4 linked regions of the Saccharomyces cerevisiae S288C genome follow. The protein of the gene in region 3 purifies or fractionates together with the protein of the main gene of each other region. This does not show direct contact. Each region holds a gene or a part of one and is shown on either strand. Other genes may lie near its edges. The genes, in order: MPD1, NCE102, SGO1 and NDI1.

The links.
Region 1: the proteins of SGO1 (region 3) and MPD1 purify together in Saccharomyces cerevisiae (affinity purification with mass spectrometry, with the first as the bait; one large-scale study listed by BioGRID). This does not show direct contact.
Region 2: the proteins of SGO1 (region 3) and NCE102 purify together in Saccharomyces cerevisiae (affinity purification with mass spectrometry, with the first as the bait; one large-scale study listed by BioGRID). This does not show direct contact.
Region 4: the proteins of SGO1 (region 3) and NDI1 purify together in Saccharomyces cerevisiae (affinity purification with mass spectrometry, with the first as the bait; one large-scale study listed by BioGRID). This does not show direct contact.

Annotation. Positions count from the first base shown.
Region 1 is NC_001147.6:848,973-856,714, reverse strand, and holds MPD1 (protein disulfide isomerase MPD1), read left to right. Parts: upstream 1-3,637; coding exon 3,638-4,594; downstream 4,595-7,742. Other genes in the region: SWI/SNF catalytic subunit SNF2, read left to right, coding at 1-1,568; YOR289W (uncharacterized protein), read right to left, coding at 2,603-3,358; rRNA-processing protein RRP36, read left to right, coding at 4,876-5,778; thiosulfate sulfurtransferase RDL2, read right to left, coding at 5,986-6,435; thiosulfate sulfurtransferase RDL1, read right to left, coding at 6,661-7,080; HUA2 (Hua2p), read right to left, coding at 7,506-7,742. UniProt on the Saccharomyces cerevisiae protein: Participates in the folding of proteins containing disulfide bonds.
Region 2 is NC_001148.4:827,165-834,461, forward strand, and holds NCE102 (Nce102p), read left to right. Parts: upstream 1-2,753; coding exon 2,754-3,275; downstream 3,276-7,297. Other genes in the region: YPR148C (uncharacterized protein), read right to left, coding at 1-976; SUE1 (Sue1p), read right to left, coding at 3,891-4,511; URN1 (Urn1p), read right to left, coding at 4,897-6,294; MAY24 (May24p), read left to right, coding at 6,525-6,529, 6,664-7,081. UniProt on the Saccharomyces cerevisiae protein: Involved in membrane organization. Required for the formation of membrane compartments of CAN1 (MCCs), localization of CAN1 at the MCCs and subsequent invagination of the plasma membrane at the MCCs sites.
Region 3 is NC_001147.6:461,282-469,685, reverse strand, and holds SGO1 (Sgo1p), read right to left. Parts: upstream 4,916-8,404; coding exon 3,143-4,915; downstream 1-3,142. Other genes in the region: SKI7 (Ski7p), read left to right, coding at 1-309; UFE1 (Ufe1p), read right to left, coding at 434-1,474; CDC21 (thymidylate synthase), read left to right, coding at 2,097-3,011; YOR072W-B (uncharacterized protein), read right to left, coding at 5,056-5,217; YOR072W (uncharacterized protein), read right to left, coding at 7,870-8,184. UniProt on the Saccharomyces cerevisiae protein: Plays a central role in chromosome cohesion during mitosis and meiosis divisions by preventing premature dissociation of cohesin complex from centromeres after prophase, when most of cohesin complex dissociates from chromosomes arms.
Region 4 is NC_001145.3:27,766-35,899, reverse strand, and holds NDI1 (NADH-ubiquinone reductase (H(+)-translocating) NDI1), read left to right. Parts: upstream 1-6,092; coding exon 6,093-7,634; downstream 7,635-8,134. Other genes in the region: NAB6 (Nab6p), read right to left, coding at 1-1,657; NGL3 (3'-5' poly(A) RNA exonuclease), read right to left, coding at 2,049-3,566; YML119W (uncharacterized protein), read right to left, coding at 4,216-5,289; Rag GTPase GTR1, read right to left, coding at 8,038-8,134.

The sequences.
Region 1 (7,742 bases), 390 kb from region 3:
ATACTGACTGGAATCCTCATCAAGATTTGCAAGCTCAGGATAGAGCGCATAGAATAGGTCAGAAGAATGAAGTTAGAATTCTAAGATTGATTACTACGAATTCAGTTGAAGAAGTTATCCTAGAGAGAGCCTACAAGAAGCTAGATATCGATGGTAAAGTCATTCAAGCAGGTAAATTCGATAACAAATCTACATCGGAGGAACAAGAAGCGTTGCTTAGATCTTTGCTGGATGCAGAAGAGGAACGTAGAAAGAAAAGAGAGTCTGGTGTTGAAGAAGAAGAGGAGTTAAAAGACTCAGAAATCAACGAAATTCTTGCTCGAAATGACGAAGAAATGGCTGTTCTTACAAGGATGGATGAAGATAGATCAAAGAAGGAGGAAGAATTGGGAGTAAAGAGCCGTCTCTTAGAAAAGAGTGAATTACCTGATATTTACAGTAGAGATATTGGTGCCGAGCTCAAACGTGAAGAATCAGAATCTGCTGCTGTTTACAATGGAAGGGGTGCAAGAGAACGTAAGACGGCAACTTACAACGATAATATGTCTGAAGAACAGTGGTTAAGACAATTTGAAGTTAGCGATGATGAAAAAAATGACAAGCAGGCAAGAAAACAACGAACAAAGAAGGAAGATAAGAGCGAGGCGATTGATGGGAATGGAGAAATTAAAGGCGAAAACATTGACGCTGATAATGACGGTCCTAGAATTAATAATATATCGGCCGAAGATCGGGCAGATACGGATTTGGCAATGAATGACGATGATTTCTTGTCTAAAAAGAGAAAGGCAGGAAGGCCCCGTGGAAGACCTAAGAAAGTGAAACTTGAAGGATCTGAAAATTCTGAACCACCAGCGCTTGAATCAAGTCCAGTTACTGGCGATAACTCTCCCAGTGAGGATTTTATGGACATTCCAAAACCACGTACAGCGGGAAAAACATCTGTTAAATCAGCAAGAACTTCAACAAGGGGCCGTGGTCGCGGTCGTGGTCGTGGTCGAGGGCGAGGACGTGGACGAGGAAGGCCGCCAAAAGCAAGAAATGGGCTTGATTATGTCCGCACGCCCGCTGCGGCAACGAGTCCTATTGATATTAGAGAGAAAGTTGCTAAACAAGCTCTAGACTTATACCACTTTGCTCTCAATTATGAAAATGAAGCTGGAAGGAAACTTTCTGACATTTTCCTCTCCAAACCTTCCAAAGCACTATATCCCGACTACTATATGATTATTAAGTACCCTGTCGCCTTTGATAATATTAACACGCATATTGAAACGCTAGCTTACAACTCCCTTAAAGAGACCCTTCAAGACTTTCATCTGATATTTTCCAATGCTAGGATATACAATACTGAGGGTTCAGTAGTATACGAAGACTCTTTAGAACTGGAAAAAGTGGTTACGAAGAAATACTGTGAGATAATGGGCGATAACTCACAACTCGACTTTACTGAATTTGATGAACAGTATGGCACCAGACCCCTCGTCTTGCCTCCTGTTGTTACTTCAAGCGTGGCTGAATCTTTCACAGATGAAGCGGACTCGAGCATGACAGAAGCGAGTGTATAGTACCTTCCTAAAGCAATATAAGTACTTATTCGTTTATACGTAGACAAACATTAATCCCTCTTTTTTTTATTGTACCCATTAACCGAGTTGGGATGTTTAATATCTCTAGTATAACGTGCCGTATATTTCCTATATATATATATATATATATTTATATATATTAGATTTTAAGTTAATTGTTCAACTAATTGATCGATTTCGCCTCTTATAATTCTGCTATACATATTTATTTTAAACCATCTCTTTGAACAAAGTAATATGTCGTCATCATAGTGAACTTGTTCTTGGACCTAATTATAAATTTTCCAATACGGAACAAATTATTTGTTCCAACACCCTGCTAGCAACACAGGGCAATATATATAAAGAAGATATATCTACTACTTCTTTTCCTTGAGTATATGTCTTTAATAGATATTTCATGTATTTGATTCATCTTTAATGGAAATACTCGGAGATTATATACAGGTCCGAGATGGCCTTAAAGATATTTCCCACAAATGTATTTACCACTCATTAGAAATGAGTTTCTGTTGTATTACGGGCTCGAGTAATACCGGAGTGTCTTGACAATCCTAATATAACAGTCTTAGGGAAGTAACCAGTTGTCAAAACAGTTTATCAGATTAATTCACGGAATGTTACTTATCTTATATATTATATAAAATATGAATCATACTAAGTGGTGGAAGCGCGGAATCTCGGATCTAAACTAATTGTTCAGGCATTTATACTTTTGGGTAGTTCAGCTAAGGAAGGACGGGTTTTGTCTCATGTTGTTCGCTTTGTTATAAGGTTGTTTCATATGTGTTTTATGAACGTTCAGGATGACGTATTGTCATACTGACATATCTCATTTTGAGATACAACAGTTTCAACAGTCATCAGGGCACATGGCGCAGTTGGTAGCGCGCTTCCCTTGCAAGGAAGAGGTCATCGGTTCGATTCCGGTTGCGTCCAATTTTTAAGCTTGATCAATGTATAAAAGCATATTTTTTTTAATGTTTCTAAGACTAACTAACGAGGGTTATTTTCTAAGCCTCTATATCTTTTAACTGTTTGTTAAATTCCTCATAAGTTATGGAACTTTTTTTGCCCTCGTACCTTATTACTTCAATGAAATAAGTTTCAAAATTATCCATTACTTCACTAATATTGCCCCAGTAACCCGCCTTCTCGATTAAATTGGCAAAGGTATCTTCTTTATTCCAATGTTGCTCAGGCATAACATCAGGTAAAAAGGTTGCGCTACATGTGGTGCCTGTTTTGGGATGCTTAAAATACAGTTCAATACCGTGCTTTCCGAGTTCCCAATCGAAAATGTCCCCATTTGGATTACCACCACCTCGAAAAATAGTTTTGAAGTTGCCTAAGATGTTGCAACTGCATTTCAGGTCCACCAATTCCCTTTTCTGGATCGGAGAAAATCTCCTATCCTCTAAAGCAGCAATCAAGGAATATTTCTCAATACCATGTGCAATCGGCATCTTAGCAAATGTACCGATACATCCTCTAAGTATATAATTCTCTTCGTTAGTGTCTATTGTGTGATGTTTATTGGACTTTTTCTTCCAAGTTATGAACAACGAAGTTTTCTCATTGTAATCTATTTTAAAGTCGGGGTATAGCCTTCTTCTAATATCTTCTAAAGAAAGGCTGCTCGATTTCCCCGGATTCAAGTGCGAATAAAGTTGATAAAATGCGTAAAACGCAAATGGCGATGAACCTTTAGGGCCTTCCATTGATATCTTTGCAAAAAAACTGGATTTTCGAAATAGCCTTAAAGCCATTACTATCGCACAAGCCAAAAACCATCTTTTCAAAGGATCTTATCTGGATACAAATTGACGCAAATTTCTCTTTATATTCCTCCTTTGTCGCCCAGTGTCATGTGCTTATCCCTTGAAAAAAGGGCCGTTGTTCGAGCCTTGCGAGGCGTATAAAAATTTGGTAAAAATTAAAATTGACACGTAAAAGTTAAATAACATGAAGAGAAATATCTTTTCGCAGTCATTTTCAACAGTAAGCATCCACTTAACACAATTAGGAGAGACAAAATTTGACATATAATGTTATTTCTTAATATTATTAAGCTCCTTTTGGGACTTTTTATTATGAATGAAGTAAAGGCGCAAAACTTTTACGATTCCGATCCTCATATATCAGAGTTAACGCCAAAAAGCTTCGATAAAGCGATCCATAACACAAATTACACATCATTAGTGGAATTTTATGCTCCGTGGTGCGGCCATTGTAAGAAGCTCTCTAGTACGTTCCGCAAGGCAGCAAAAAGATTGGATGGTGTAGTCCAAGTTGCTGCTGTAAACTGTGACCTTAACAAGAATAAGGCTTTGTGTGCTAAATACGACGTAAACGGATTTCCCACGTTAATGGTATTTAGGCCCCCAAAAATTGACCTATCTAAGCCAATAGATAACGCCAAAAAAAGTTTCAGCGCTCATGCCAATGAAGTGTACTCAGGTGCAAGAACTCTCGCGCCTATTGTTGATTTTTCTCTTTCAAGAATAAGGTCATATGTCAAAAAGTTTGTCCGTATAGATACACTTGGCTCTTTACTTAGAAAGTCACCCAAACTTTCCGTGGTGTTGTTTTCCAAACAAGACAAAATTTCACCGGTTTATAAAAGCATTGCCCTTGATTGGTTAGGAAAGTTCGATTTTTATTCAATTTCAAACAAAAAACTCAAGCAACTAACCGATATGAACCCAACATATGAAAAAACTCCTGAGATTTTCAAATATTTGCAGAAGGTCATTCCTGAACAGCGACAGAGCGATAAAAGTAAGCTTGTCGTTTTTGATGCAGACAAAGATAAATTTTGGGAGTATGAAGGGAACTCAATCAACAAAAATGACATTTCCAAATTTCTGCGGGACACTTTTAGTATTACCCCCAATGAGGGTCCTTTTAGTAGACGTTCTGAATATATTGCTTACTTAAAAACTGGCAAGAAGCCAATTAAAAAGAACCATTCCTCCTCAGGAAACAAGCACGACGAATTGTAGTGGTACGTTTCCTCATTCAATGATTATCTAATTAAACACAACATATGTATCTATATAGTCCACTAACTGATGGCATGGACGTTTACTTTTATTTGCAATAATAACTTTTATCTGAGCGGTTAAATACCGAAAGACACGTTTATTACCCGCTTTGAAAATTTTCAACCGATGAGCTTGCCTTTCTACCGGAAAACTGGGGCATAAGAATAAGTACTAAATAGTATAATTAAATTGCCATCCAAAAATTGTATAGAGGGTCAATAAGCACTAGAAGGTTAAAAATGTCGTATTACTTTAAAAATCTGAAGCCAGACTTGAACTCCGACGTAGAAGAAGATGACGGAAACTTATTGGAGAGCATAATGGCGAACAAAAGTAAGCGAGAAATTGACGAACAAGAATCAAGTGACGATGAGTTGAAAACCTTGTCTTTTGGTTCTTTGAAGAAGGCTGAAACGGTAATAGATGAAGAAGATTTCAAAGATACGAAACCCGTTCACAAAAAACCGATCACAACTACATACAGAGAAGAAAGTTTTGATGAAGATGAGGACAGTGAGGACCAATCAGACGAGGATGCTGGATTCTTTGAAGAAGATAGTGAGGATGAAACTCATCATGGTCAGAAAGTACCAAAAAAGAAGAGCAAACACGCTCCAGTAGAACAATCATCCAAGAAAAGGGTACCACGAGTCCGAAATATCCCTGGGCTGGAAATACCGAGGAATAAAAGGTCTAACCTCTATCAGGACATCAGATTTGATAAGTCCACCGGTAAAGCCCTTGATAGTTCTATCATAAGAAAACGTTACCAGTTCTTGGACGAATATAGAGAAAAAGAAATTGATGAACTGCAGAAGCTGTTACAAGAAAGAAAATTTCTATCAAAAATAGACCAGGGAGAACGTGAAGAAATGGAACAAAGACTGAAAAGTATGAAATCGAGATTGCAATCAATGAAAAACAAAGATCTCGAGCGTGAAATTCTCAAGGAATACGAAAATGATATGAATAAAAACAATAATACGAGATACCATTTGAAAAAGTCTGAGAAACGTAAAGTGGTGCAAAAGTGGAAATTTGATCACATGAAGGCCAAGCAACGTGAAAAGGTCATGGAAAGGAAAAGGAAGAAGAGATTGGGTAAAGAGTTTAAACAATTTGAATTTCATAATCGTAGGTAGAGTATTTAAGCAAAAGAATGCACATTAAAGTAATATATAGAGAAAGATAAAAAAATAAACGCACACATAAACTAATGGAAGTAAGAGGTTATCCGCGAACCACAAGGAGAAAATCGAATGAATCGGAGAGGTGACAACAAAAAATTTGAAATACACAAAAGGTTGTCTATATACAGGATATATCGATTATACTTGTTTCTTTTTGGCTTATTTTTTGGGCTTAACGTCAGCACCACCTTTAGCTAACCACTCAGTAATAGAACCAGGATAGATACCAGTGTTTTCGTACCCATAAGATCGAGCCAACTCTTCGGCAGTTTTGGCTCTTACTCCTTTCGCACAAAGAAAAATCAATTCTTTATCGTGAGGTGGTTTAGCAAATTGGAAAACTTTGTGAAACTCCTTTTCGGGCAATCCAAGAGCGCCAGGGGCACTATTCACCGGAATATTTATTGTAGTTGGCATCTTGTAATCCTTTACTTCCTTGGGTTCCCTTACATCTACCAATAGTTTTTTATCATTGGGGTGTTCGACTAGGTTCCTGACCTGGTCAAAAGTATAGATCTTTGGAGCCTTCGTTGTAAATGTTCTCAGGACCAATGTAGGCGATCTTGCAGAAACTGTCCTCGAGAGAATACCTGTACTATGCTTGAACATCGTTGGTCTTTTTCTTCTGTCTCGCTTCCATTTGTTGAGAGTTATCGCTATCTTATTCCATTCAGATTAAGTTTTGTATTTTTTTTTTTATACTTCCTAATTTCTTTGCGCCGCCGCTATCACAGCCAATGCAATAGGCAAATATTATGAACGGTGTGACATAAATGGCATAATACGTTACTAGCTTACGAAAATACACAGGGTACATACCTAGAGTATACAAGGCTATAAGTCAAGTTTATCACCCCCATGAGAAACCCAATCATTCATAGAGCCAGGATATAGTGAGGTGTTTGAATATCCATGTGAGGAGGCGACTTTTTGAGCTTCTCCCCCGCGTTTGCCAGAAGCACAATAAAATATTAGCTCCTTGGCACTGTCAGGTTTTGGGATGCCAATCTGTTTCTCAAATTCTAAAGGATCTAAGGCAAATGCGTCAGGGTGCGATCTATATGGCACATTGATGGAAGCAGGAATATGAACAATCGAGTACTCAGATGGTTCTCTAACATCTACCAAAACCACATTAGGATCATGCTTTCCAACGATTCTTTTCATGTCTTCAAAACTGTAAGATTGAATATTTGAAACATTCTTACTTTGACTCTCGGTTCCATTCCAAGCATTCATCACGGCCTTCCACATTTTAATATCGTTTCTTAGTCACAAACCCTGAAAATAAACGAGAAAGAATTCTTTGATTGATTAAGCCTCCACTCTCTTTTATACACCTCAAAAATTCTCCCCTTACTTCCTTCCCCGCGGGTAATAATATTCTCCAAAAAAAATACAAAAGCAATCAGATGTAACTTATATAGGTTCCAAGATAAATAACAAATTATTTGTCATTGCAAGTAGGAAAAGGACATACCGTAGGTGATATCTGGATTTGGGCCTTATGGAAGCCAATCTTAGTAGTAATTCGTCCATATGTCTACCAAAGGGGATAACAAAAAAGTACAACTACAAATTTTTCACACAGTGTCCCGTTAATTTCATATACTCAATATGCTGCGTTTAATCAAGAAAAATTCTGATATTTTGCGACAGAAGGTGTCCCTGGAAAGCGCTTAGTATGCTGTATGATCTTTGAAGTACAATGCACAGGGAAATAAATCACCATATCTGACGATCATCTTGCTAGTTTCTAAGTTCGGAACATCTTGTCTATGCGCCAATAAAACTAGTTTTACATCGTACAGAAACACTGTCCACTTAGAACTGGACACTTGTTTGCCCAGTATAGTTCTGATACTATTATTATGTATAATTCCCTCAATATTAAGCACTTTATGCAAACGTGTTGG
Region 2 (7,297 bases), on a different chromosome or scaffold from region 3:
GCTTTTCATCCTCGGTAGAAGGCGTTTCGTCAAAAGAGGTGGTAGTGTTTGCGCTAATGTCCTTTGCGCTAACATCCTTGCTATGTGCTTCTCCTGTGGCTTCAGCTTTTTTCGCCTCTAACTCTGCTTCTTTTGCTTTGACTTCATAACGCATTGTATCAAATTTGAGTCTTGATTCTTCCACTTTTTTGCGCAGGTCATGGACCTTCTTGAAGTCTTGGTTTATTAATGTTTCTAATTTTTTGTTGAATTCCTTGACCATCATAGAATCCATCTCTGCCTTCCCTTCATCGATATTTTTATAGCATGTCGACCACGAATCGAAAACTTTGATCAAATTAGACAAATCTTCATCATCTTCTTCATCTTCTTCATCTTCCTCGTCTTCTTCATTATGGTCGGCACCCTGAGCTTCCGTTGTCTGTGCAGTTTTGATAGACTCCTTTTTCTTCTTTAGTTCTGCCTTTTCGTTGTGTTCTAAATTTTGAAATTCACATTCGCAGTCAACAGCGGCTTTTGAGATGGCTTGAGCAAAAGACCTTGGCAAAAAAGCATCGTCATGGTTAGATCCCTTTTTTTTAGTGGAACTTTCGGATTTTTTAGAGCCAAACCAGCCATCTTTATTGAGAGACCACCAATCCGAAATACTCTCCGTTAAATTTGGTGGATAGTCGTAGCCCTCTACTTCGAACGTTTTGGACACCAGTAGAATCCTTTTACATACCTTCTCTAAGGAATCACTTTTTTTCTCCAAGAATTGGTACTGTGGTGGTAATTTACTTATATCTGATACAGTACCCAATGATTCCTGAACAAATCTAGTTCGCGATTTGATTGATAGTCTTGTTTGAGGGTCATTTAAGTTTACATTTGCATTTGCTAATGCATTGTTCAAAGTGTCTTGGGTCTTGTGAGCAGCGGTGGCAATTGAATCGGTGATCTTGTTTAGAGAAAACCCTGAAAAATAACCAGACATTTTCTAACCAGAATTTTATGGTTTTACCTAACTTTGCTGTTCAGATGTATAAGTATTGCAACCTTTTTTTCCCTGATCATTATTATTTCAAGAGAAATGAAAACCAAAACTGGGATATGCGTGTCGAGTGCTAAAAAAAGCCAACTAGCGATTTAAGAGTGAGAAGTAATCCTCGTTAAAAGCGATGCAGAGCCAACTAACTAAACTGCTAACCTCGCTTTCTTTACACAAGTAGTACTCAAGAAGTTTCATAAAATGCCCAGTTACACACTCGTGAAATGCACTTCAAGGTGGTGTTACAATTTTCACGAACTGCAACAATTGAGTATATTTATTAAAGCAGGAATATGTTTGCCCAATCAAACGTAATTTCATATATGAACATATATGAAGTTGCACACATCAGCGGGAAAGATGTCTCTACCGCTCGAGGAGCCACACGTTTGATTTGCAATCCATGAAATAGAACTGCTAATCCCATATACAATTAACTATATCAATTTCCTGAACAAAGAGATTACAATCAACGGCAAAGCCGCCTGCCTCTCCGGAGATCTCCTTTTTTCTTCTTTCTTTTGTCCTATGTTGCATAGTTGCTCATGTCTTTTCCTTAGGCGGACAATTAAGAGCAGCCACAATATTTCCAAAACTAAATTGCTAAAAAAGCGTAGCAAAAAATTCTCGTCATTCCCACTTTCCCTACCTTAACCCTTGATGTTAACGCCGTTTCGCTCATCGGAACAAACTATACAGATAATTAAGCTTTTCGGCAGCGGTGAGAAAGGAAGCAGCCAGGAGGAATACGCGGCTTTCTCGCGGAGCCCGATTGCCGATACAAAGGAACTGTTGCCTCCTCCCGGCTATTTCCATAGGCCTTCATTCAGCATACTGTTGTGTAGTTGCATCACATCCTTGTTGAATGAATTCCAACTATTTCGATAAACCATCCCATGAAGGAGAATGCAATGCGGCTTTTGTTTGTAAACGGGCTTGAGAGGTTCTATGCGGTTAATTCTGTCACTAGGGGTCCGAATCTCGGATTAAGTATAAAATATGTATTACCCTGATGATTGACCGGATGATGTAAGGATGCATGTCCCTACTGTTTTGGTATTTCCACATACGGACGGGGCCCCGAAACACCACCCCCATTTTAACGGCCGCATCTGAGCATCGGCCCATTTGGCACACGCCCGTTAGTGACGTTGGTAGGGGCATTTCCCTGAGGTAGGCCCAAGGTTGCTTTAAAAGGTCCATCGCAAACCCCTTGTCCGCGGACCTCTGCGTCATAATTAAAATGCCCAAAACATAAAAGTGATCGCCCCCTCACAGAAACTTATGGGCAGCTTGCTGCCTTAACGGAATTGACTAGAATTGGTTTGATTTTTTTTTCTTCCTACTTCTTCTTCCATTTCCCTCCCCTCTTCCTCATATATGTATACAGAAAAATCATACCCCTATAAATTCCTTGGCCCCAATCTTCTGTCAGATTTTCCTTTATAAAAGAGTCTTTGTTTTGTAATTAAAAGATACTTTTTTCTTTCTTCTTCTACGTCTCCTTTTTTTTTTTTAAGAAAATTTAACTTATACCACTATTTTGTTCGCAATTGATCAAGAAAAAATACAATTGAAAAGGTTTTACATTTTTAATTTTTCTGCTCATCGCGCTTTTTTAAAAGGATAAATAAACATTTCTTTAAAAAACATCTTCAATAAGAAAAATCGGTTAAAAAAACTTTTCTTCTCAAAGCATACCTAATAACAATATAATCCCATAATGCTAGCCCTAGCTGATAACATTCTACGTATAATAAATTTCCTATTTTTGGTTATTTCCATCGGTTTAATCAGTTCGTTGTTAAACACCCAACATAGGCACAGCTCCAGAGTAAACTACTGTATGTTTGCTTGTGCATATGGTATATTCACCGATTCATTGTACGGTGTCTTTGCCAACTTCATTGAACCATTGGCATGGCCACTAGTTTTGTTCACACTGGACTTTTTGAACTTTGTGTTCACTTTCACTGCCGGTACAGTGTTGGCCGTTGGTATCAGAGCTCACTCATGTAACAACAGCTCATACGTTGACAGTAACAAGATTACTCAAGGTTCCGGTACCAGATGTAGACAAGCTCAAGCCGCTGTTGCATTCCTCTACTTCTCTTGTGCCATCTTTTTGGCTAAGACCCTGATGTCTGTTTTCAACATGATCTCCAATGGTGCCTTTGGTTCTGGTTCTTTCTCCAAGAGAAGAAGAACTGGCCAAGTCGGTGTTCCAACCATTTCCCAAGTCTAATTGAAGCGCACCAACTTAAATTTTACGCCACTTTCAATTAAGAATATAATAAATGGACACCGTGAATAAATTAGGGAAAAAAGAAAGCAAATAAGAAAACTCCGTTTTCCCTCATCCCTTTCCGTCTTTCGGAAGAAACAAAAAATTATACCCAAGGAAAACCCGAAAAAAATGAAAAAAATACCAGAAAAAAAATAACAAATCATATGCACTTCTTCATTAACGATTATGAAGAAGTCTTATTTCTAACTAATATTATTATTATTATTATTATTATTATCATTCACCCCGCTTTCTTTTATTATAATTTGTTCTTCTAATATTTTAATTTTTAATCTTTTCATACTATTCTTATATCTAACTAAAGTATCCTTCTCTTTGTCTAGTTTTACTTCACTACATACCTGTTGCGTTGATTTGAGTTTTTTGTATGTAAGTTCTGTTTATCCTTTTTCATCCTACCGTTCCGCGCACGGCGTGACGTGGATCCCTAATGTGAGTTCAAATCGGTTACAAAAATTAATAGTTTTGTTTCCTATTATTATTATTATTATTATGTATGAGGAATCGTGCTATAAAATCATTTTCCATATGTATATGCCAAATATTTATTATTTATTTCATCTTTTTTTTGCTTTTGTGTGTCAACCGCATTTGCAGTGCCTTGTCAAACGGCTTCAACTTTCTCATCATATATGGGGGCACGTTTTTCCATTCAGGAAAATATTCCATACCCATACTGGACGTAGACCACCAATTGAATGGCAACAGCTCATTGGGTACGGTGGGATTGTACTTCCATGTACCGTTCACGCCACCTGACATTATACCACCAGTGCCACGTTCACCAAACAATATGTTCTTGTGCTTTTTCTCATCGATCGTCTTCGCCTCTGCGTTTGTTTTCTCGTTCATTGTTAATAACGTTTGCAAGGACTTTCTCTTCTTATCTCTGAATAGCGGGTTTTCCTTCACTGGGTACATTACTGGCCTGTATCCGCTATACAGAATATCGCGGGTGAGCTCCCTAGCTTCCAAATACTGTGTAGTAGGTACTTTGGGCAGCGATCTAAAGTCATAGAAATGCGCATTCTTTAAAATCTTTGAACTCCTTTGCTTGGTAATTTGTTGATGTTGCTGCCTTATGGGGTTCACCAGTCTGCTGTGAGTCCTTCTTTGCAAGCTTACAAAAGAGACGCTGACGCCCCTAATTTTTGTCCTCTTTAATAAAATCATCCTTATTCACTATTTCCGTACGTATATATGTCTTTGTATATACGTGTATGCGTGTGTGTTTCGTTACTCTCTATAATTCAACTAAAATGTATACATGCAGACACACACTCAGAGGGAAAAAATAAATGTGCTATAAATAATGAAACACAAGAAACATCTAAAGTCCGAAAATTGCACCTGCTCTTATCATTCATTCTTATACAAAAGTGACTAGATATGATGGCGGATCCCGCAGCCCCAATCACTGGCAAAGAGCCTGAATACCGATAGGTACACTAAGCGTAAAGACCCTACCGTATTCTGGTTGCTATCACCACCCCACTTCCATCACGTCCATACCAGGTGCGTAAGCTTAATCACTCTTTGCTCCCCTGGTCTGCCCTTCCTATTCCGGATTTATCGGCTCGTTCCCCGCGCCCACTGGGGTAAACCGGCTTGATGGCCCGACCTCGGCGGCTAGCCACCGCACCCAGACCACGGTCTTCTCCAGAATGCCCACGACGTAGTAGCGTGGTTCCGTCACCACTATTGGGCTGACACAACACCTGTGCTCAATGCTCAGCAATATATCCTCTATACTACTACTGTCCGCGGGTGCTTTCAGAAGTGTTTGCCATCGGTCGATAAGCTCTTTGTCCTGACGCAGCGATTCGACTGCCCCCGTAAAGTCTCGTTCGTGATCCCGTAGGCAATCGCAGAAAATCTCTTTCCGCTGTTCCAAGTCGAACGTCTTATAATAAAACAGCAGTTGGGAAACGAATTTGTCTTGGTCGCGCTTCGACGGTATATACTCCTTGATTTTGTAGGCCTTGTATAACGCTTTTTGTTGTTTCCTTATATCTTGTGGGATGGTGTCGGGTGCGATTGTTCCCGCATTAGCAACAATTTGTGCCAGATAATGGTATTTTGTTGGTTCTAGTACTTCGCTATCGTCTTCGCTATTATCTTCGCTATCGCTTTCTTCAGCGGTGGCATTGCCACTGCGCTCGCCGCACCATTCTTCGAAAAGACTTTCACGAACTGTGTCATCTCTGATCTTGTAAAAATCAGGATCGTTTTCGATTTTCTTGCTTTGCAGCGACCACGTGGAAAACTTGTCTAGTTTATACCTATCGAATAATTCGAAGAAGATATTACGCTCGTCAATGTCATCTGTATCAATACGATTCAGATCATCGATAATGCTGATATCTTGATTTACAATTTGTTCTTCATTCTCTTCGTCTTCCTCTTCGTCTTCCTCTTCGTCTTCCTCCCCCGAAGATGAACCATACCCGCTGACTAGCCCAGTGTGGCTTTCCTGTAAAGGGGATTTTACGTCACCCGCCTCTTCGCTGATCTCATCTTTTCTCTCAACTTCGTCTTGATTTCTTTTAAATAGATGAATCTCTTCGTTGCAAGATTCGAGGATTTTATCAATGTCCTCCTCCCGCATAGTGTAACCTCTGGCAACGCCAATCAGAAGAACCAGTTTTTCCTTATCTAACGACTCGATTAATGAGCGACACCTGCTGTCGTCCTCTTGACTGATGTCATTTTTGAACTCCTTAGAGTCATCATTAAAGTAAAGTTTTGTACCATCGTTGTATATTATTAAGTGCCAACCATTAACCAGTTCTAATGAAAATGTTGGCTTCCTCTCTGTCTGTGATTCTTTCGCATTGCTTTCTAGGTTAGAGCCTTTCTTCAAATTAGGTTTTTCCCATCGAGACTGCTTCGTGTTCTTATTATAGTAATACTTTTTGCCTGCAGGTGTCTTAAATTCCTGCCATTCTCCACGCATGGCGATTCTGTGTTACTGAACTGTCTTTCTCTTTATAATACATATCAGAATCTCTTTCGGACACTATTTCCTCTTTCTTCAATTATATTGTTTTCTCTTTCATTGCCGAAGAAAAAAAGAAACATACTGAAAGTTGATAAATATGCAATAATAAAACCTTTTCCTACTCTTGACGCTTCTGTATAAGATAAAAACTGCCAACAAGATCAGTTCCAACTTCCTGCCGTATTATGAGGTATGTTATTCATTACCAAGACTATATCCGCCACGGCTGGATGCAGGCATCGCTCCCTGTGGCTTAAGAAAATAATAGGCACAAAACTAACAATAAAAACATCCACTACTCTGTCGCATGTTCCCTGTGCTCAGATCATTCGTAACAAATAACGATATACCTGTTGGATATGTAACGCCAAAATTCCCCTCATTATACTGGCCCATCAACAACTCGAAGTATAATACTGCATTCTTATACTATATATCTGACATTTGGAAATTTTCGCTGTACTGGACTTTGATCTTTAATGGTGCATTTTACGTTACTGCTGGTGTGTATGCTAGCTTGACCCATAGAAAGAAGGCTGGAAGTGTATGGATATTCGTCATGTACGTCTTATACGGAGGCGTTCAAGGCTTGACGACTGGTACAGTTATGGGGTTTTTAATAGGTGCGATCTATAGATCTGGTTTATTTTCTATGTCTACATGGGTCCCACTTTGTTGCGCAGTAGTCCAAATCCTTTTCGATGTGGTGCTAAGTTATTCCATGGTTGGTTCCGTTATGTGAAAGCTTCTGTCAAGAAAAAACAAGAAGGGGTTTACTGATTTGATGATAAAAGTTAGCAGCAACTTTTGAATGAGAATGTGCCATCCTTCACGTAAAGAGCCTAATACTCTTTCTTCAAAGCGCTAGATTGTTCTAAACGTTTCTTTAACTATTGTTTTCGTTCGTGCAGCGTGATTAACCGAGCCTCCTTCGAGGCGGGGATGGATATTGTAAGCT
Region 3 (8,404 bases):
ACACTAAAGTTGTTAGCCTTGCGTTTAATAAAATTATCAATACAAACGCACGCGCTAAGTGATCCCGTTGACTTGGGTTCTGAATTGCTTCTTTACCATAATTTGACGCACAACGCGGTAAAATTGGTGAAGATTCTCGGGACTAACGACATCTCAATTAATCCAAATCAGTCACTTATTGTCGAAGTCGAAATTATAGAACCAGACTTTGCTCTTAATGTGATTGATTCCAAATACATTACCAACAATATTGTTTTAACATCAATAGATCATAAGGTTATCGCAGTTGGCAGAATTGCATGCCAGTAATCCTACAACTAAGAAATTATACTAGGCATTCATACTTATTGTTTAATATATAAAATGAATAGTAATAAGTTGATGATAGATTGATTTTTTTAACCCATTTTACACATATCTTATGAAAGTGATATTAACCTACATAATCTAGGAACAATATAAAAACACCCATGATAATGGCACCATAAGTGGTCATTTTAGCAGTTCTTCCAGCAGCTCGTTTCGCTTTACGTAATTCTTTATTTCCCTTCTTAATATTCAATTCAATGTCATCTTGATTGTTCAGCATTAGGTTTATATTTTGAGATTGCACCGTTAAATGATTGGACAATTCGTTCTGTATATTGACAATGTCTAAAATTGTTTTGTTTATAGTCTCCACTTTTTTCAATTGCTCATTTTTTTGATTTAGCAGTTCCGAATGTTCTGTCTCCAACACTTGTAGTTGCTCCTGGGTTAATTTGGATATCGTCTCTTCATAATGTTTTACTTCGTCTTGTACAGTTTCTACGGGAGCAGATTGTGACACTGAGATGTCTATTGCATCTGCAGAGAAATCATCCGCATTGTTGGATAAAGTAGGCATAGGCGTTGAATTGAAATTCATTTTATTTTCTAATATCAATCTTTCCTGTTGTATGGTAGTGAATTTGGATGAAACATATTTTATCCACAAATTCAAACACCGTAGGACACCTAATCTAAATTCATAAACTCCATTTTCAATGTCTTGCGGATGTATCACATGCTTAGTGTTGTCGTTTTTATTGGAAAGTATTTTTGACCATCTGTGAGACTTTGACTGAAATCTTTTCAGCGACAAATTATGCCTTTCCATTTCGTAATTCTCTAGGAATTCAAACTTTTTGAAATATTGTTGAATTTGCAGCCTGCATTCCATGTCAAACTCGTCCTTTTCCGCATCACTCATATTAAAGTCATCTAAATAGTTTTTTTCAATCTGTTTTATTACCTTGTTTAATTCGACTAGGAACTTCAATAGTCTTGCACATTCCTTAATAAACGAATCCCTAAACATTTCACACGTTTCATTAGAATTCCCGAAGTCCTCTTGTTTCCTTTCAACATGATCATCTATACCATTTTGCTCATTTCTAGCATCATCGATAACAGCAACATACTTACGGAATATTGGTGTTAAATCAGACATCATGAGTTAATAAGCTCTTCACTGCTTTTACGGGTGATTTCCCAGCACCGGGGGAAATGATACTAGACGTATGTGTATGTATTCTAGTTATTCTCATTCATCTGAGCTCACAAGTTGGGTAGGGTAACGGAGATCTTTCCTTGTTGGCAGTTCTTAATTAAATGTGCCCTTTTCAGAAAGATACCAGCAAAGGTAGGAATGATTTATCATTACATGACATGTATCCATATTCCAGGATGGATCATGCGAACAAGCTTCTTTCCCCTCTCGTCTGTAAAGGACGGGATTGAGATTCAATTAAAAAATTAGTTTCATTGGAAAAGGCCAATAAAATATGCAAAGGTCCCGTCATTATACTGCAGCTACCTCAAAGAGATTAGCTTTGTGTCCTCAACGTAGGACCGCATTGAACAGGTTGGAAGAGGTGTTGCTTTTTTGACCTTCTTTCTCAAACTTAATATTTGGTGACGCGTTAAATAGAAAAAATGAAAAAGACCTTAATTGACGCGTTTCCTGAAATATTTACTATAGCATAGCTGTAATTGTATTTTCTAAACTTGTAAGTGACTGTGTATATCAAACAATAAAGTATCAAGGAGAGAGCTTCATAACAGAACGGTACAGGATGACTATGGACGGAAAAAACAAAGAAGAAGAGCAATATCTTGATCTATGCAAAAGAATCATTGATGAAGGTGAATTTAGGCCAGATAGAACAGGCACTGGTACGTTGAGTCTTTTTGCACCACCCCAGCTGCGTTTTAGTTTACGTGATGATACCTTCCCACTACTAACGACCAAGAAGGTTTTTACTAGAGGTATCATACTTGAACTATTGTGGTTTTTGGCCGGTGATACAGACGCTAACCTATTGTCTGAGCAAGGTGTTAAGATTTGGGACGGTAATGGATCTCGTGAATATTTAGATAAGATGGGGTTCAAAGATAGGAAAGTAGGAGATCTGGGGCCCGTTTACGGATTTCAATGGAGGCATTTTGGTGCTAAATACAAGACGTGCGATGACGACTATACTGGACAAGGTATTGATCAATTGAAACAGGTTATACATAAACTAAAGACAAATCCCTACGATAGAAGAATCATTATGAGTGCCTGGAACCCAGCTGATTTTGACAAAATGGCTTTGCCGCCATGCCATATTTTTTCACAGTTCTATGTCAGTTTCCCCAAAGAAGGAGAAGGATCCGGTAAGCCCCGCCTTTCATGCTTATTGTACCAACGTTCTTGTGATATGGGGTTGGGAGTACCATTTAACATTGCATCATATGCTTTGTTGACTAGAATGATTGCTAAAGTTGTCGACATGGAGCCAGGTGAGTTCATTCATACTTTGGGGGATGCACATGTTTATAAAGACCACATTGATGCCTTGAAAGAACAAATCACCAGAAATCCAAGACCATTCCCGAAACTAAAGATTAAAAGGGACGTTAAAGACATTGATGATTTCAAGTTGACAGACTTTGAAATTGAAGATTATAATCCTCATCCAAGAATTCAAATGAAAATGAGTGTATAATTGACAGCACGAGGAGAAACAAAATCATGTACTTACGTATATACACACAAAATCGAATGTATATAATACAATGGTTTATTATGCAAAAATATAGAAATTATTAAGGAACACCAGGGCAAAAAGACTATATATCATTTTTTGGTGCGATATGTTTTTGGTTGATGTTTCACTGCCTTACCATTTCCAAATAAATCAAATACTGCTAAATCATCTTCATTTAGTCTAAAGCTAACAGATTTATTATTAACATTATTAATGTTTGAATTGTTATTGTCGAAATTGTTGTAATTGTTGTTATTATTACTGGTTCCCTTTGACGACTTGGAGGGTCGCGTAGTAGAATTTTCATCAGATAAATTATTGACAATTGCATTTTTGAACAATTTTTTAGTTCTTGTTGACTTTTTCTTATTCTCCGATTTATTTGTAATGTCAAGTAAAGGCGACGATTTTTTAGGGCTATTGTTGCTAGTTAGTTTTTTTTCGTTTTTGTTGTTGCTGTTGTTGTTGGAAGTGGTCATTAGATGAGCGGTATCCTCGTGTATTTCATCTTCCGTTTTTTTCCCTTTTGGAGTTCCATAATCCTTTGAGACGACGACTTCTCTCAATTGCGGTTCGTCGGGTATTGAATCTTGGGATAAACTTTTCCTTTTATGTGAAGTTTCCCGATTTCTCTTGGAAACCTGTAGATCATGTATATCAATCACAGTAGTAGCATCCACAAGTTTTTCTGAAGGCCTCCTCATTTTGGCTCTTAAAGAAGGCAAAGTGTAATCTACAGCTTTACCACGAGTTCTTCTAGTTCTCGTAAATGATATTTCGCTGTTGCTGCTCATGTTACTTACGGGCATGACTTCGTCAATAACCTTTTTCTTCAGTTCTATCCTAGGCGGCTTCATGGAATGCTTAATTTTGGTCTTTGGATGAGAATTAGTAGAAGAACTTGATGAAGGATAGACCGTTGAAGCATCGCTAGTGGTAGTAGGTAAAGTTGCGGATGGGCCTGGTAAAGGCAACGGCAAAGGATTTGACGGCACTGTACTTAGCATATTTGTACTGTCATTGAATATTTCTAGTTTAGAAGATGAATGCTCGGGTTCTGTCGGATTCTCCTCTGGTATGGAGTATTCTATAATTGAATTGGTAAAATTACTGACAGAATCGCTATTTTCCTCTTCAGGGTTTAAGGCATCTATTGTTTCCTCCACTTGCGCAGACTCGTGTGATTCTGCCGGTACCTCTACAGAGGAATTTTCCATCATGGGTTCGTTTTCACCGGTTTCGTCTTCAGGTTCTAAACTCGTGGATACAAACATAGATTGCCGCCTAGAACTCTTCCTTTTTTTAGCCTTAGGCTCAAGATCTGGACCATCGTCCTTGTTAAAACTTGATTCATGCGACAGGTTATTCTCGTGATTTGATAACCTAGTGTAACTTTTTGAGTATGTGGGTGATGACAATGAGCATGATCTTGACCTGGAACTCGTTCTCTTCAACATTGTTCTTAAGCTCGAACTGGGCAAATTTTCGTTTTTACGTACGTTCTCAAACATATAAAAAATTTCGTCAAATCTTTGAATAATACCGTTTTCAATGACTTGTAGTTGATTACTTAACCGTTCCCTGTAGATAGCTTCGCTTATAGAGGTTTTAGATCGTAGAGTCACGTTTTCTTGTACCAGCTGGCTTATTTTTTTTTCCAAGCTATTAACTTTAATTTTTAATATGGAGTTATCCTTGGCCAGCAGGGAGTTTTGCCTCGAATACGACTGTCTGATGTTTTCCACTTTTTGCGATTCGAGATCCATTAGGTTTTGAAATTCTTGTATTTGTGGGGTTAAATCATCGTGGGAGACCGTACGCCTGCTGCTTTCCTTGTTAGGAGCAATTTTTCTCTTCGGCATGGTCAAACAATAACCCCTCTATACCCAATTAAACATATATATGCGTGTGTAAGTAATATAACCCTGCGCCTAGCAGTAGTTGTAATGTGGAAATGGCATTATCAATATTAGTAGACGCTCACTTTGTGAAATTTCTTTGTTTACAAAACAAAAGGGCCTTGAAAAAAATAAAAAAAATCTGTTACCCGACCAATAGGAAATAAATAATCAAAAATAAAAGGGGCGAGCTGGGAATTGAACCCAGGGCCTCTCGCATGCTTTGTCTTCCTGTTAGTCAGGAAGTCGCCCAAAGCGAGAATCATACCACTAGACCACACGCCCTTGTTAACTTGTTGTTAAGACTACTTAGTCTTGAGTATCACACTGCATTCAGTAACATATATTCTTTTAATCTTCTGGCTGAGAACTCCAAGAATAATCGCTAAAAATACTCAAGGGTAAGTACCCCAAACAAAGTTCTGTCCTTCTTAGATATTTTAAATGAGGGAAACTAAATCATTAGTTTATTATTTAGATGCATTTTTCCCAGCTTTAACCTTTTTATTTAAAGGAAATTATAAAAAAAATTTTAAAAAAATGAGTTTTGCGTATCCAATAAATAATAGACAAGATGCTGTCACAACAGTATTAAAATTTCTGAAAGATTCTGCTGTCTCTGGACTGTGTAATACAACAATTCTTCGGAAAACTTGATTCGGAATAAACAATGGTCTTTCATTTATGGAAAATTTTCTTCTTTGTCTCGGTCACTAAAAAAAGCCTTAGCAAAGCTATATAGAAAGAAAATAGTGATATGGTGTATTTGCCGTAAAACTATGGTTTATCCAAGGTCGCCTTCAGTAAACTTTCGGAAATATATTCATCGGAGATATATTATATAATGAGTACATAGCAATCTAATCATGCTGGGTCTTCTTGCACCCCAATGAAACCATAATCATGTAAATGCTTGAAAATTCCGGGCATACTATCCTCTTCCTCAATAACCCAATCGAAGTAGAGTGCTAGTTGTGCACTATGTCCTTGCTGCTCATTAAATAAATTTACTGACAGTTTGGTGGAATTTCTTTGTTCGATCAGATAGTACTGTTAGGTATTTGTTGACATTTACTTCCCTATCACATCAGACCACTGTTTCTCCTTCCTTTTTGCCATCTTCTTACCTATTATATGATAATATAGTTCAAAAGGAAATACCAGTCAATGAATGATAATTGGCTCTTACTCCAACCGTTCTTAATCTGGACCAGTAATTGTTCTTATGGTGAAAAAGTATGGTGACGTCTTTACTTTTAAAAATATTTTTAACAGTTGAAGGAGCTCCCCGTGTACATCTTGCCAGATCTTCAAGAGAAATGTCACCAAATAAATTATGAAATTAAAGTACAGCGGTAGTGATAAAAACGATCATCAAGTAGTGCCATCCGATATTTCGTGTCAATTTCCAAGCTCATGATTTATGACATACAGGATTTTCAAGAATATTAAATCTTGTTCCTGAGGAATTTTTGATAAATCCAATAAATAGTAAATAATAAGAAAAAAGACAGAACAACAACGTTTTGGTGGGAGAAAGGCCACTTCTCTGACCAGACTAGAGTACTAATATTTACGACAAATATACTGAGACCGTGACCAATGGTAGAAGGTGATTGGCTTGAAAGAAATGCCAACATTAAAGCACATATCACTGCTCTTGATATCAGTAGAGTTGCAAAAAAATTATACTACTAAAATCAGCTCAACGGCAAGAAGTTACTAAGCACAGCAGAAATTCTGGAGCTAAAGAGAATAATATACATACAAGACTGACTGAAAACTCTGTTTTCCACATGCAGTGGACTCAAAATATTCAGTTGAAGAAGCAAGCACAAAATTGGATCAACCCGTCGCGTCGCGGCCGCTGCTGCAGGCGACAAATCCACTGGCAAATTGTACGCGGCCTCGTTACTCCTACTTGAAAACAGAAGTAACAACAACAAATTCAAGTTTCTACGAAATGGGTCTCATGACGACAAGGTGCGCCCCCCTATCTACCTTGTTGTAAGTCTGGGACCTGGGGCTAATTTCTCATCCCCGGAAACAAAAGTATACAACTACGTGGCTAAAAATTTTTTAGTATGCAGCACATAGGATGCCAAGGAGCAATTTTTAACCCTGGCAATCTGAGCTACTGAACGGCCGCCTCAGGACTCATAGTTCTCTATATATAATTTCTCCATGTTTCTCCTTGTGCCTGGTGGAAAATATCAAGTAGTTGCCGCGACATAAAATGAATGCCTCGTAGACACCGCGAAGCCGGAATGAAGGCGGACACTACGGCACCGCCTCAAACCCAACGGCCGAGAGCGAGTTCATCTCCCTCATAGATGCGAACGGCATTGGCACTGACGCCATCATTGTAGAACATATAGACAAGATTAAAATGCGTAATCACATCATGAATGGGAAGTTAGGTGCGGTCCACTACCCTGGGGGCCTCACTGGGGACGTCATCACCCCCAAAGCACCTCAATAAGTCCATAAATAAATATATAAAAATTACTGAATAATAATAAAAAAAATAAATTAGTTCAGTCTAAAGAAATGGAAGCAAAAACCTCAAAAAAAAAATTTTTTTACGAAGACTATGCTTCCAAGACTGACGTCTTAGAGGCATAGTCGAGAAGAAAAGGAATTACTGGCACAGAACGACAAGAAATATCGTGTCGGCGCCAAGGCATCTATGTAACTACGTCTTGTGATCACCGGTATAGCTGGGACTATTCCGTTTCATCATATGATCTGGCCGTCTGCGCTTGTACATTCTGGGCGCCAGGCGTAAATGACCAGAGTAATGTCTTGCTGTAGTCGTCCGTCGCCACAGAAGCGCGTGGACGCATGATCGCGCGCAGCGACCGGTCGGTTCGCAAGACGGTTGGCAATAGGAGTTTCCTGCTGACCGCCTTATTAATTTATATGAAAGAGGAGAATTTGTCATCGGGCTTTCGAATGAAATAAAACAGCTCCTTTAAGTAATGGAACTGGAAGAAGGAAGAGAATAAACGACAGAATTTTCGTGCTCGGAGCGAACACCGCGCCGGGTTACGAACAACAGTGGCCACTACTATAATAGTTATGGAGTAGACGTCAGAATATATAGCGCAGGCGTCAGAGTATAGCGCGGGCGTCAGGATATAGTGTGCCAATGTAGCGTGGTTGCATGCAGCTAGCTTTTTAGTTGAGTCAGACCTGCTCCAAAAAAAGAGGAACACAACTTTCGTCAGCATGTGTTGCTACCGCTATTTGTTCTTCGGGGAAAAAAATTTGCATTCGCTATTGTAGTTTTAATTTTCCTTCTCTATTCTCATAAATAGAGTTAAAATCTTATAAACTCCAGAATTATCAAGAACAATTACCTATATTATTTCCTATTGCAGAATTTATATTATTCTTTATTGTACTGATATCCCCATTATAACTATCAAAAAAAGGACTTCAGCACCTGTA
Region 4 (8,134 bases), on a different chromosome or scaffold from region 3:
TAGTTGGTGTTTGATAGTCGCGATAGTTGATTTCTAAATAAGTCCCATCAAGTTCTACCCCTTGAAGTTTCGTCGCAAGCATATCAATCTCTTCATTTAAAGATACAGATGATGACAGACTGGTTAAACTCATATTAGAGTGACCGTATACGGAAACACCAATACTACTATTATTATTGAGTGTGGTGATACCACTCATATTACTTTTATTATTGTTTCCGTTGTTGTTGCTATCGTTATTGTTCCCAGCAGTAACAGAAGGCACCGATAAACGATGTGTGCTCGTTTTACCCTCGTAAATATTAGCAACCGAAGATCTGGCTGAGCTAACTACCAACGGGGCTAGGGATACGTAAAAACATTTAGAAATGCCTAAGTTTTTGGAGTATTTTTTCAAATAATCGAGAACTTCAATAGCCATAGAGATATTCAAAAAGGTTAAAACGGCGTAATTTTCAGGAAATTGATTGGAAGGTACATCTGTGTTCACTAAATCGATAGATTCCAAAATGTATCTTTTGTTTTTTGACCTGTCCAAAAATTGTAATTTCTTTTTGAATAAATCGCTTTTCTCCACGGGGCTTTTGAATTCAATTATAATCGACCTTGTAGCATCTTTGTTCGCTATATTATGATGCAGCGAAGCACTGATCATTGTTGAACCATTGGTAATGTCGGCTTCTTCAGCGTTTTCTGTTAACGCTTCACTCTCAATAAAGGTAGGGAGGCATTTGGGATCATAGTTTAGACAAACAAATTTCAGATTTAGTGCTTCAGATTTCAAAAATGTTTTGAATTCAGATAACCTTTGTAAAATGTTATTGTAAAAGTTCAAACAGTCGCCTTTGGTTAGAAAGCTTATTAGAATGGATAGATTTTTAGTCTCTACATCTTTTGAATCATCGCTCTTCCCTCCTTCAATTAAGTAGGCACTTTCCAGAGTATTGGATTTGACAAAATTTTTGACTATAGAGTGTAAATCAATAGAATGATCCACATTTTCAATAAGCAGCGACCTAGTTCTATAAGCATCATCACCAGTCGGTAGAACCTTGTAATTAATACAAAAGGGTCTTTGTAAAAGCATTTCTGGAAGTATGTCGTCGAAAATGTTATTCCTTGCGAATGTTCTTCTTCCACTGTTGTTCCGGGTGTCGCACCCCTTATTGTTGTTGTGAGTAACATTCCTCGTACTGTTGTTGTTCCTCGAGAAAGAATTTCTCCCCATTCTATAATAGTTCGAGGGTGTTACCATTCCGTTATTAGTATTGTTTTGGTTACTGTTACTGTTTCCGTTGTAACCGTTATGATTAGAAACGGGCCTCGAATAAGCCTTTCTTTTGAGATTAGATGATCTTGCAGAATTATAGCCACTTTGCATGTTAGGCGAGGAAACAAATGGAGATCCCATCAATAGGTGAGATGGAAAAAGACTGGCACCGTATGCAGTATCAAAAGGTGTTGGTGGAATATTAGGTAATGGTGAGTTGGTGTAATATGCTGGGTGTTGAGAAGGACCATATTGGCCGGCACCGTTTACGAAATCAACAGGATGATACATCATTGGATTTCCCACCATGGCGTTCATCCCATTATAATCTTGCTGTTGACGGTATGCGTAATTCGCAACAGGTTTTTTTGAATTGGAATTTGACATATTGGAATCCTCAAAAAAAACAATAGAAAACGGATTCTTGCGAGTCTTGTTCGAGCCGATCAAAAACCCCTTCCTTGATAATATAAACGAACGACGTGAATGAGCCAACTACACCTCTTCAGTCTTTGGGATATCTTCTCTGGATGCTTTTCACGTAACCTGAAACAAGGAAAAAGGGCAGGTTTGTTGTGGTGTTTCTATGCTTGATTTTATTTTTTTTTTTTTAGCCCGTTGAGGCGCAACGAAAGGGGAAGGGTGACCAAAAATAGCACGTAAAAGCTGTGAATAAGGTGAAAGTGACGCTAAATTGAAAGAAAAATCCCAGTGACCATCGAAGCGTTGATTACTGTCTTTCAAACACAAATGTAGGTTGTTTATATATATTGTTTCTTTATTTTAAGCTATGCACTTTCTCCCCCCCAAAAAACAAGCGTATTTGGCACATTAGGGAAATGTGATCACTAGCATATTCTCCCTCGAAAGGTTGGGAGTGTTTGGGCATTTCTTGTGCGCACGGCATCCTCAGATATCCGATTATTTTTACGTTGTTATTTCCTTCAAAAGCATTCAGAGGCTCTTTCTGACGCGTGTCCTGATTATGATCACCCTCGATATAAAATATGTAGTCTAATAATCCACACCATGTATTGGCCCAGTTTGAGAGTCCCGGTTCGCCGTGGCTTCCGTTAGCATTTTCAGGATGCACTTTACCGTAGCCAATCCCATACAAAGATACGCCTTTCACATGTAGTGAATTATGCAACGCAACTAATTGATTTACCAGAGCCTTTTCTTCCTTTGTGGCTGTAAAGCTCTCTGGTTTTGGGTTTTGTGGTTGATCTGAATGGCCTTCGCCCCTAGACTTTTCATCACACTCTTCATCATCCTGGTCACTTTCTTCTCCATTCCTTTTTTTTGAATACCGATACGCTAGTGAGCATTCCACCATAGCTCTTATTGGGCCTTTTAATATCAGTGGTCTTTTCGTTATGGCCAAGTACGGTGGCTCTTCAGGTTCGGTATTGAAATCACCCATCAGTAGGCTATGCCAGCCATTATATTTGGAACATGCTTTAATTTCCTGGATCTTTTGTAAAACCAAGTAAGATTGCCTTAATCTTTCAAATACCCCAAAGGGATGCCAAAATAGGTGTGTATTTGCGACGATAATTCCTCTTGATGATGAATCTGTTATACCCTTGAAATATAGCGATATAATAAGGGCAATATTTTTAGTTCTTGTTCTTGCTGAAATGACATTTCCCGCCAATATATTATCGTAGTCCAGCATCCAATCATTATCTAACTGGAATTTTTTATTGTTCCATGCAACTAGTAGTCCATGAGTTTTCCCTTCATGCCTTTTGAAAATCACATCAAACCCTAACTTATGGAAATTCTCCTGCCAGAAGTTGAGTTCATTGTAATCGACCTCCTGCAACGATACTACATCAGGCCTGTACTTTTTCAATTCGTGGACCAAAACTTTTGATCTCTTATGCCACTTTAACGCTGGTCCACTTTCTGGGAAAAAATCTCTCCTAATCAAGGTTTGTGCTAGAGTATTATAGGTCATTATTTTAACGTCCAATGAATCTTGGGTGACTTGTATGGTCGCTGGCGTAAGACCTTTCGAATTATCATGGTTGATAGGGAGGAATGGTCTTTCAATGAATTGTAAGTCAGGCGTTGGGAAGTCAGGGTCCTTCCCTTGGGATATTAGAGAGTTCCTACGTACCTGTCTCTTCTGAGCACGTTCTTCTCTGATTTTCTTGATTTGATCCACACTTAATTGGTCTCTGTGTATTTTTTGATGTGCTGGGCCATCTTCACTAGGTGAAACGAGGCCTGAGGTGGAGGAGGACTCCTTCTGTGAGGGGGATATTTTGCCTTCTACTTGGCTATCCATATTGAAATTAATGTAGGAGACAAAACAAAAGAAAAAACTGTTTAATGCTGTAAATATTAAATTTTCAGTGAGCTAACTCCACGATAGTAAGTAGTCTGCTTCAACCATGTGTTAGTTTGGTATAACTATTGTGATTGAATATTGGTATTATAGGTCATCCTTTTTTTCTGTGCAACGAAGGGGTGGCTGAGCATTTTATATATAATGTCGGGAGAGGAATGCAGGACTTTTAACATATCAAATGAATAGTATCTGAGTTGTTCACATATTTGGTACGTATATTATTTATTATTCTGCAACTTGTTTACTGCATGATAATATTGAAATAAAGTGAAGAGAAGACGGCACAGAGAAATTACAATGGCGCAAACGTAAGGCAAAAATGGCACAACGAATTCTGAATTCGATTGCTGGATCACTTTTCAAAGATATTGTGTTCGGTTGTGACAAAGGCATCATTAAAATAATTATATGTCTTTTGTCATAAATTTAGATCGTTAATAGGCTTTTTTTTGTATTTTTAATTCACATGTTAAATGTTTCGTTTTGGCAACTAATAATAAACTACATTAAGTAAAATGCAAAACTTCAAAGTGCGGAAAAATGTATTGGTATATAAATACTATAGACAGAATACAGAGAATCCGTATCATTTCAAAGGTTCATTACTTAGTATCTCCGCAGGGAGGATTCTGTTGTTCGCACTTCTCTGCTGAAAGCTATCCTCCTCCTCATCTTCCTCATCTTCATCTGAAATGGCGATGCTAAAAGAATCTACCATTCGAAATATATCAGATCTATCCATTGCCTTTCCATCAAAACTCAATTCAAAGCTTTCGTTGGCATTTGTGGAAACACTGGCCCCGGCTCTCTGCTTCGCATTGGAATTAGGGAGATTCTTTACGGGCTTGCTGTTACCTTGCAGCTGCTTTTGTTGCCGTAACGTTGATGTCAGCTGCACTCCGCATAATTCGTCTAGTGATTTTGAGATCCGTGTCTTACTATTTGTGGACAATTGAATAGGTTGCAAGAAGTGATAGTTTTTCTCAAACTTCAACGAAATTAGCAGGATTATGATTTTTTTGGATATATCGTCTATCGTTTCGTGCACTGGAGATGGTAATTTATATGTGGTAACGACGGACCTAGGTAAGATGCACTTCTTGATGTTGAAATTTGTTTTTGATTTCGTGGGAGAATTCGTCAACTTAGGTGCCACACTAGTGCTACTTCTTGTACCATACAAATCAATTGGCTTGGTAAAATACCGTTTCTTTGTACACGTTCTGGAAGGAAAAATAATTTCATTTATGCTGCTCACTTCCTTCGTTTGATTGAATTTAAGAGATTTAGAATTTAAATGCGACACCGACTGATGATGCGGATGGGAATTTACATTGGTGTTTGCAGCGCCCATGGTATTTGTATATCTAGATGGCCTGTTATTATTACTGCTACCGCCCCCGGTATAATGGTCTTCATTAACTCCTTTATTAACCTGCGAAATACTGTTAAACCTTGGTCTCAGGTTTTTTGTGGGTGACTCTGGATAATAGAAAAACTGCTGGTTGGAATCGAAAGTCGCTTTTTGTTGGAAGCTCAGGACTGGCTGCTGATTCAAATTAAACTGCGTAGGAGGCAGGACCAGCCCACCGCTGTTATTGATGTAAGATGATTTGTTATTGAGCGTCCTTCTTGGCGACACTGATGGACTTGGGCTCATTGCTACCTACTTTTTTTCTTACTGACCTAAGGCTGCAGGTGCAAGAAAAGAGTAAAAGAATGTTAAAATACGTTTTGAAAGGTCTCTGTTTTCATGTACAATTGAGGGATAAAAAAATCTTTTCTTTCTTTCAATGCGGATGATTGACACTTTCTTATTTTGTGTTTTTATTTATGTTCTTTCCTAATCTGGAAAGCATATTAAAGACCGGCGCTACCCGGTTAAGTAATCATACACGTGAAAAGCACGTGAACAACAAAGCACTTTAAAACTCATATACTACGCATTTAAAGAATGCTAAAACGGCAATTGCCACTGGGCACCATTTAAAAGGTCAATAATGAATCTGTGACCTTTCTTTGCTATAGCATCACTACAACTATGTGTTGCTTGTCGCTAGCAACGAACCTATTATTCCTTCGCTTTATTGTCGAAGACCACAAAATACTCCAAAGCAATAGAATGTCTCTTTCCGCAAATAACTTACTCAGGGAAACAATACGAATATGTGCAGATTGCCGATCATTGCTGAAATGCCTCAAAAATATGCATTTTCTCATGACCTATTCATTCGGACCAATCATATGAAGGCATTGAACGTCCGGGTAACCACAATAAGAGTGCTCCCCCTTAGCGCTCTTGGTTATTGCCGGTATTTGCAACGTCGACAGGGTATATATAAGATGTATAGGGCATAGTGGGGAAGGAGTTTTAACTACCAATTGAGGAGTTTCAGGTAGGGTGTCAGTTTCATCACATCATCGAATTACACGTTTACCCAAGAGAAGAAACTAAAAACCACTATGCTATCGAAGAATTTGTATAGTAACAAGAGGTTGCTCACCTCGACGAATACGCTAGTCAGATTCGCTTCCACCAGATCCACAGGGGTGGAAAACTCCGGAGCAGGTCCTACATCTTTTAAGACCATGAAAGTCATTGACCCTCAGCACAGCGACAAACCAAACGTGCTGATACTGGGTTCGGGGTGGGGAGCTATTTCGTTTTTAAAGCACATTGACACCAAGAAGTACAACGTTTCCATCATCTCTCCTAGAAGCTATTTCTTATTTACGCCTTTGTTACCTTCTGCACCAGTTGGGACAGTAGACGAAAAGTCAATTATTGAGCCCATCGTTAATTTTGCTCTCAAGAAAAAGGGGAACGTTACCTACTATGAGGCAGAAGCCACCTCTATCAATCCCGACAGGAATACCGTTACCATAAAATCATTATCTGCCGTTAGCCAGCTATACCAACCTGAAAACCATCTAGGGCTGCATCAAGCAGAACCTGCTGAAATTAAGTACGATTATTTAATCAGTGCTGTAGGTGCGGAACCTAACACATTTGGTATTCCTGGGGTCACTGATTACGGTCATTTCCTGAAGGAAATTCCCAACTCTTTGGAAATAAGAAGAACTTTTGCCGCCAATCTAGAGAAGGCTAACTTATTGCCAAAGGGTGATCCCGAAAGAAGAAGACTACTGTCCATTGTCGTGGTTGGTGGTGGGCCTACTGGTGTAGAGGCCGCTGGTGAACTACAGGATTATGTTCACCAGGACCTGAGAAAGTTTCTCCCTGCATTGGCCGAAGAAGTCCAAATTCACTTGGTCGAAGCTCTGCCCATCGTTTTGAATATGTTTGAGAAAAAGCTTTCATCATACGCGCAATCACATTTAGAAAACACTTCGATCAAAGTACATCTGAGAACGGCTGTCGCCAAAGTTGAAGAAAAGCAATTGTTGGCAAAGACCAAACACGAAGACGGTAAAATAACCGAAGAAACTATTCCATACGGTACTTTGATTTGGGCCACGGGTAACAAGGCAAGACCGGTAATCACTGACCTTTTCAAGAAAATTCCTGAGCAAAACTCGTCCAAGAGAGGATTGGCAGTGAATGACTTTTTGCAGGTGAAAGGCAGCAACAACATTTTCGCCATTGGTGACAATGCATTTGCTGGGTTGCCACCAACCGCCCAAGTAGCGCACCAAGAGGCCGAATATTTGGCCAAGAATTTTGATAAAATGGCTCAAATACCAAATTTCCAAAAGAATCTATCTTCAAGAAAGGATAAAATTGATCTCTTGTTCGAGGAGAACAACTTTAAACCTTTCAAATACAACGATTTAGGTGCCTTAGCATACCTGGGATCCGAAAGGGCCATTGCAACCATACGTTCCGGTAAGAGAACATTTTACACCGGTGGTGGCTTAATGACCTTCTACTTATGGAGAATTTTGTACTTGTCCATGATTCTATCTGCAAGATCGAGATTAAAGGTCTTTTTCGACTGGATTAAATTAGCATTTTTCAAAAGAGACTTTTTTAAAGGATTATAGATGAAATTAACATGCCCTTTTCTGGAAAAAGGAAAAAAGGTGGTAGGCACCGTTTTTTCCTGAGTTTGCATCCTTTTTTTTCTAAAACCCTCTAAACAAAACCTAACACACACACACACGCACAAAAAAATGCACATGATGTTTTATTATTTATATATTCCCACTTTTTTCGAAATGATGCTTGACTAATGCACAAGCAAAAAACCCCGACAAGATTGGTTGATCACTTCAGCTTTTTCCTCCCATTGTCCTATATATATATCTGTGATTATTTATTTCTTCCTCTTATGTTTCTCTATTTATTTTATACGCCAAATCCCATTTGTATATACGTAACGAAAGCTTTATAATTCTTATGCCCCGCAAACACTCAATTGCCGAATGTTTCGTCTACTCACCTCAGTCATTGGAAAAACTCTTTGGCTTTTTTGATGTTTTCCAATACTAATTCTTGTGGAATATTCATATCTTTCAACACTATAAAACACACCATATTGGAC